Anolis sagrei: one gene and its partner. The protein of the gene in region 1 purifies or fractionates together with the protein of each later gene. This does not show direct contact. Links are inferred from orthologs where the notes say so. Each region holds a gene or a part of one and is shown in the gene's direction. Other genes may lie near its edges.

What was found. Proteins that work in one complex are often made in the same cells at the same time.
Region 2: the proteins of PPP4R2 (region 1) and CCDC6 purify together in Homo sapiens (co-immunoprecipitation; 3 studies listed by BioGRID and IntAct, counting the BioPlex papers as one, with this or other methods). This does not show direct contact. The link is inferred for Anolis sagrei from reciprocal best matches to the Homo sapiens genes PPP4R2 and CCDC6.

The regions. Positions count from the first base shown.
Region 1 is NC_090022.1:40,801,889-40,805,638, forward strand, and holds the start of PPP4R2 (serine/threonine-protein phosphatase 4 regulatory subunit 2), read left to right. Parts: upstream 1-1,455; 5' UTR 1,456-1,753; coding exon 1,754-1,787; intron 1,788-3,750. UniProt on the Homo sapiens protein: Regulatory subunit of serine/threonine-protein phosphatase 4 (PP4). May regulate the activity of PPP4C at centrosomal microtubule organizing centers.
Region 2 is NC_090023.1:164,696,555-164,700,304, reverse strand, and holds the start of CCDC6 (coiled-coil domain-containing protein 6), read left to right. Parts: upstream 1-1,415; 5' UTR 1,416-1,642; coding exon 1,643-1,960; intron 1,961-3,750.

The DNA.
Region 1 (3,750 bases):
GAATATTTCTAATAAAAATCATTTATAAAAGAAAAAAGAAAAAAAAGAGAGGGACTCCCCCCCTGGGCACACAGAGGACTGGGAGGCTCGGAAGGCGCTGAACAGACTGCGCTCTGGCACCACGAGATGCAGAGCCAACCTTCAGAAATGGGGCTACAAAGTGGAATCCTCGACATGCGAGTGTGGAAAGGAGCAAACCACTGACCACCTGCTGCAATGCAACCTGAGCCCTGCTACATGCACAATGGAGGACGTTCTTGCAGCAACACCAGAAGCACTCCCAGTGGCCAGATACTGGTCAAAGGACATTTAATCAACCATCAAACACACACATTCTGTATTTTGTCTGTTTGTTTTGTTAGAAATGTAATATAATTTGACTGGTTGTCCTGACATGACAAATAAATAAATAAAGGCTAAAAGTGATATTAGATTTCTTTTCTGATAAAATAAAATACTTTATTAGTGGTACTAGCCGTTCCCTGCCATGAGTTGCTGTGTATGTTTTGTGTGTGTATATATTTGTGTATATATGTGGTTTTGTGCATGCATTGTAATTTTTTTTTTGCTTTTTAAGTCTCTTCTGCTGTGTTTTTCAGTGTTTTTTATGAGTGATGGTCACCCGTTGGCCTGATAGGTGTCCTGTGTCCAAATTTGGTGTCAATTCGCCCAGTGGTTTCTGAGTTATGTTAATCCCACAAATGAACATTACCGGCTGTTAGGAATGGTGGGAGTTTAAGTCCAAAACACCTGGAGGGCCCAAGTTTGCCCATGTCTGATCAACAATGTAGAATTAATGCAGTTTGATACCACTTTATCTGCCATGGCATCTTAGGAGTCATAATTGAGTGAGGCATCAGGAGTCTTTGGCAGAGAAGGACTCCCAGGATTGCACAGCATTAGGCCATGACAGTTAAAAGTGGTGCCAAACTGCATTAAACGTACAGTGTAGATGCACTCATGCTTACTTGCCACAATTATATCAAAGTTGCTGTCAAAATATCTAACTTTTTGCTCAAATGTATGTTGAAAGGCGTCGACAGTCTCACCTCATGGGCTCCCTCAAAACATACACCTTCTCTCTTCTCTCTCCTCAGACTGAATGAAGAAAGGAAGAAACCTGGCTTTCAGTCGAAGCGTGACGTCACCGGGAGTGGGCGGGACTTAAAAAAGAGAAGGCATCTCCTCTCGAATCCAGTTTCCACCGAAGCGTGACGTCACCCGAAGTGGGCGGAGCAGAGAGAAAAAGTCAGTTTGAAAAAAAAAAAAAAGAAGGAAGACTTCTCTCGGCCAATCCCAACTCGAGCTATTCCTTCAGGCTTTCAATCATTCTCGGGCTGTGACGTCACCACCTTCTCCTCGCGCGCCTCTGCGTGCCGGCGGGAAGAGGCGAAGCTTGTTTTTTTTCGCGGTGTGGTGTGCGTGCGTGCTTGCGTGCGTGCGCGCGCAGCAAGCGGCGGCGGCGGCGCGCACGGCGGCGGCTTGGGCGCCATGTTGGAAGGTTGCTGAGCCCGGCCGCCGGGGGTTTTGCCTCTCTCTCTGTGTCTCTCTCTTTTTGAGTGTGTGTTTCCTCTCTCTTTCCTTTCTCTTGGGAGTCTTTCGCCTCTCGGTCGTTCCCCTCTCTCTTTCTCGCTCTCGGAGTGGCTGAGGCTGAAGAAATATCTCCCCTGTGCTGCTTCTGGAGGCCTGTTCCTTGTGTGAGGGCCCGAGGGGCAGGAGGAGGAGGAGGAGGAGGAAGAGGTAGCTGCGGACCATGGATGTTGAGAGGCTGCAGGAGGCACTGAAAGGTGTGTGAGAGGGTTGTGGGGGTTGGTTGGCTCTGGGGAGAGGGTTCCAGGTTACCTTGAGGTCATACGGAAAGGGAAGAGGACACTGCCCTCAGGAATGGGGGACACGAGGCCTGGGCTTCGCTTTGGTGTACTTGGGAGATCCCATCAATCCCTATTATTATTATAGATTGAGCATCCCTTATCTGACTAGCTGAGGGTGCATCTACGCCAGTCATGGGCCAAGTTGGGCCTTCCAGGTGTTTTGGACTTCAACTCCCACAATTCCTAACAGCCTCAGGCTGTTAGGAATTGTGGGAGTTGAAGTCCAAACACCGGAAGGGCCCAACTTAGCCCATACTTGACCTACACAATAGAAGGAATGCAGCCTGACACCATTTTAACTGCCATGGTTCAAGGCTGTGGAATCCTGGGAGTTGTAGTTTGGCAAGGCCTTTAGCCTTCTCTTTCAAAGACTGCTGCTGCCTCACTAGACTACAACTCCTACCATGCCAATCTGTGGAATCCTGGGAGTTGTAGTTTGGCAAGGCCTTCTCTGTCAAAGACTGCTGGTGCCTCACTACACTACAACTCCTTCCATGCCAATCTGTGCTTTAGTTCCACATCGTAGATGGCTCAAGGATGTGGAGTCATGGGAGGTATAGTTTTGTAAGGTGGTTAAGCCTTCCCTGCTGAAAAATGTTTCTGCTGCCTCACAAAAGTACACATCTCAAGATACAGTTTGAAACCACAAAGCTTAACAAGCAGTTTGACTCCACTTGAAATTGCCATGGCTCATTACTATGGAATCATGGGAGGCCGAAGATCTTGTGAAACGACACCTTCCATAGTGGGTTGTTGTAGGTTTTCTGGGCTATATGGCCATGTTCTAGAGGCATTTTTTCTTGATGTTTCGCCTGCATCTATGGCAAGCACCCTCTGAGGATGCTTGCATAGAATCATAGAATCAAAGAGTTGGAAGAGACCTCATGGGCTATCCAGTCCAACCCCCTGCCAAAAAGCAGGAATATTGCATTCAAATCACCCCTGCAGGCGAAACGTCAGGAGAAAATGCCTCTAGAACATGGCCATATAGCACGGAAAAACCTACAACAACCCAGTGATTCCGGCCATGAAAGCCTTCGACAATACACCTTCCATAGTGTTGAGCCATGGCAATTTCAAGTGGAGTCGAACTGTATGTTGAGATTTGTGGTTTAGTGAGGCACCAAAAACACTCTTCAGCAGGGAAGGCCTTACAAAACTACACCTCCATGATTCCATAGGATTGAGACATAACAATTTCAAGTGGAGTCGAACTGTATCTTGAGATTTGTGGTTTAGTGAGGCACCAAAAACACTCTTCGGCAGGGAAGGCTTAAAGGCCTTACAAAACTACACCTCCCATGATTCCATAGTATCGAGCCATGGCAATTTCAAGTGGAGTCGAACTGTATCTTGAGATTTGTGGTTTAGTGAGGCACCAAAAACACTCTTCGGCAGGGAAGGCTTAAAGGCCTTACAAAACTACACCTCCATTATTCCATAGGATTGAGCTGTGGCAATTTCACAAGATCTTCTGCCTTCTTTGTCAGAGAGTGTTACCAAGATACAATTCCCACTATTCCATAGCATTGCACTATTGCAGTTGAAATGGTGTCAGTGTATGCACTCTGAGATCCTGAAACTTTTGCCAGCCCACGAATCTCAAGATACAGTTTGACCCCACTTGAAAATGCCGTGGATCAATGTTATGGAATCATGGAAGGTGTCGTTTCACAAGATCTTCAGCATTCTCTGCCAAAGAGTGTTGGTGCCTCACCAAACTACAACTCCCATGATTCCATAGCTTTGCACCATGGCAGTTGAAATGGTGTCAGACTGCACTGATTCCACAGTGTATGCTCTCTGAGATCCTGACACCTTTGCTTTCTGAGGGTACAATACACACAAATGTTGTTTTCTTCACAAAAATTGGGTATAA
Region 2 (3,750 bases), on another chromosome or scaffold:
GTGGTCAGTTCTGACTGTTGCTACTTGGTCCTTGTACAGATTCCTCAGGAGAGAGACAAGGTGGCTTGGTATGCCCATCCCACCAAGAACTTGCCACAATTTATTATGATCCACACAGTCAAAGGCTTTAGAATAGTCAATGAAGCAGAAGTAGATGTTTTTCTGAAACTCCCTGCCTTTCTCCATTATCCAGCGGATATTGGCAATCTGGTCTCTCGTTCCTCTGCCTTTTCTAAACCCAGCTTGAACATCTGGCAACTCTCGCTCCATGTAAACCAACCAAGAAGGCAAAATGGTTGTCTGCTGAGACACTGGTAGTAGCCCAAGAAAGGAGGAAAGCAAAAGGAAACAGTGAAAAGGGGAGATATGCCCAGTTAAATGCGCAATTCCAGAGGTTAGCCAGAAGAGATAAGGAACTATTTTTAAATAAGCAATGCATGGAAGTGGAAGAAGACAACAGAATAGGAAGGACAAGAGACCTCTTCCAGAAAATTAGAAACATTGGAGGTAAATTTCAGGCAAAAATTGATATGATAAGAAACAAAGATGGCAGGGACCTAACAGAAGCTGAAGAGATCAAGAGAAGGTGGCGAGACTATACAGAAGATCTGTATAGGAAGGATAACAATATCGAGGATAGCTTTGACGGTGTGGTGAATGAATTAGAACCAGACATCCTGAGGAGTGAGGTTGAATGGGCCTTAAGAAGCATTGCTAACAACAAGGCAGCAGGAGATGATGGGATCCCAGCTGAACTGTTTAAAATCTTAAAAGATGATGCTGTCAAGGTGATGCATGCCATTTGCCAGCAAATATGGAAAACACAAGAATGGCCATCAGACTGGAAAAAATCAACTTATATCCCCATACCAAAAAAGGGAAATGCGAAAGACTGCTCAAACTTCCGTACAGTGGCCCTTATTTCTCATGCCAGTAAGGTAATGCTCAAGATCCTACAAGGAAGACTCCAGCAGAGGGCAGAGCAACCTTCAATAGCCTGCTCCACCCCTGTCAACCACCTCCACCAAGTCTGGCCTCCTTAATGAGAGCATTCAACACACACACACACCCCAACTTGGTTGCTTCACTACATCGGCTATTGCTGCAAGTAATGACAGTGTGAATAAATTGTCAATATTTGCTTGAGATAGTGCTTACAGTTCTGGAGGGACTCTTAATTTTTTGCATTTCATAGACTTAGCATGGGGATTTGGTTAACCAGTTAAAATTCATGAGTAAAGCAGGTTTTTTTAAAAAAAAATTGAAACATTTCGGGGGGGGGGGTTGAACCCCTAAAACCATCCCCTCGCTACAGGCCTGGGTGGTGGTGATGTCTGAGGTCTCCTTTTGGCGGAGCTGGTGCTGCAGTGCCACCATTGGCGGGTGGCGGCGCTGTGGGTAGGGCGCGAGGCGGGCGCGAGGCGGCGCCGGCCTTGGCTTCTCGGCGCCGAGCGCGCGCGGCTTCCCAAGGCGCCGGGAGCATGCGCAGTGGTGGTTCTCCTCCTCCTTCTCCTCAGCGGCGAGCTCCTCCTCCGGCCCTGGCTGCAGCCCGCGGAGCGGCGAGGCGAGGCGAGGGAAAGAGGCAGGCGGAGGCGAGGCCGAGCCCAAGGCGCTCTCGGAGCGGCCCCGCGCTCCCTCCAGGATGGCCGACAGCGCCAGCGAGAGCGACACGGACGGCGGGGGCGGCGTGGGGGCTCCGGGCGGGGCGGCGCCGCCGGGCTGCCCGTCCTCCTCGCCGTCCTCCTCCTCCTCTTCCTCGGCGGCGACCTCGTCCTCGGCGGGCCCCCCCAAGGCGGGCGGCATCGTGATCTCTCCCTTCCGCCTGGAGGAGCTGACCAACCGGCTGGCCTCCTTGCAGCAGGAGAACAAGGTGCTCAAGATCGAGCTGGAGACCTACAAGCTCAAGTGCAAGGCGCTCCAGGAGGAGAACCGCGACCTCCGCAAGGCCAGCGTCACCATCGTGAGTGCGGGGGGGGGGGCAGGGGAGGGAGGGGCGCGGTTGCCAGGGAAACGGAGCTGGGGAGGGAGGGGCCTCTCCTCAGGTGAAACCTTTTGCTCTTCCTGCCGTGGCTCTGGAATCCTGGGAGCTGTAGTTTTGCAAGGCCTTGACCCAAACACCTCCCCCCAAGATTCATAGAATCATAGAACCGTAGAGTTGGAAGAGACCTCCTGGGCCATCCAGTCCAACCCCCTGCCAAGAAGCAGGAATATTGCATTCAAATCACCCCTGACAGATGGCCATCCAGCCTCTGTTTAAAAGCTTCCAAAGAAGGAGCCTCCACCACTCTCCGGGGCAGAGAGTTCCACTGCTGAACGGCTCTCACCCCACCAAACCCTTCCAGTATTTTCTGTTGGTCATGGGAGAACTGTGTGCCAAGTTTGGTTCAATTCCATCTTTGGTGGGGATCAGAATGTTCTTTGATTGTAGGTGAACTATACATCCCAGCAACTACAACTCCCAAATGACAAAATCAAATTTTTTGAGTGAAGGACATACATTAGGTTGTTAGGTGTCCAAATTTAGTGTCAATTCGTCCAGTGGTTTTTGAGTTCTGTTAATCCCACAAACAAACATTACATTACATCTTAACACCTCTCAACAGGGGATTTTCCCAGGCTCAGCCAGGCCTTCAAATGCTAATGAAGGTGATCAGTTGAAACATTCACACCTAGCTCCAGCAGGGAAGAGCTCCTTGCCCCACCCCAGCCATTCCACAGATATATAAACCCATTGTCCTAATTCCAACAGACCTCACTACCTCTGAGGATGCTTGCCATAGATGCAGGCAAAACGTCAGGAGAAATGCCTCCAGAACATGGCCCTATAGCCCGAAAAAAAAACCCCACAAGAACCTAGAGATTCCAGCCATGAAAGCCTTCGACAATACATTACATTTTTATTTATATAGATTGCTCTTAGGATCAGATCCTGGGATATAGGGCCTGTCTGGAAGTGTTATGGGCAAGCTGTTGTTTATTTCTAGGGCAGCAGAATCAATGCAGTCTGACAAACACACACACACAATGAACTGCCATGAATCTACAAACTACAAGAGAGGAGATTCCATCTGAACACGAGGAAGAACTTCCTGACTGTGAGAGCCGTTCAGCAGTGGAACTCTCTGCCCCGGAGTGTGGTGGAGGCTCCTTCTTTGGAAGCTGAACGGCTCTCACAGTCAGGAAGTTCTCATGTTCAGATGGAATCTCCTCTCTTGTAGTTTGTAGATTCATGGCAGTTCATTGTGTGTGTGTGTTTGTCAGACTGCATTAATTCTGCAGCCCTAGAAAGAAACAACTGCTTGCCCATAACACTTCCAGACAGGCCCTATATCCCAGGATCTGATCCTAAGAGCAATCTATATAAATAAAAAGGTAATGTTTGTTTGTGGGATTAACAGAACTCAAAAACCACTGGAAGAATTGACACCAAATTTCGACACCTAACAACCTAACGTATGTCCTTCACTCAAAAAAAATTGATTTTGTCATTTGGGAGTTGTAGTTGCTGGGATTTATAGTTCACCTGCAATCAAAGAGCATTCTGAACTCGACCAACGATGAAATCAAACCAAACTTGGTACACAGAACTCCATAACCAACAGAAAATATGGGAAGGGTTTGGTGGGCATTGATCTTGAGATTTGGAGTTGTAGTTCACCTACATCCAGAGAGTACTGTGGACTCAAACAAGGATCTGGACCAAAGTTGGCACAGATACTCAATATTCCCTAGTGTGAACACAGGTGCAGT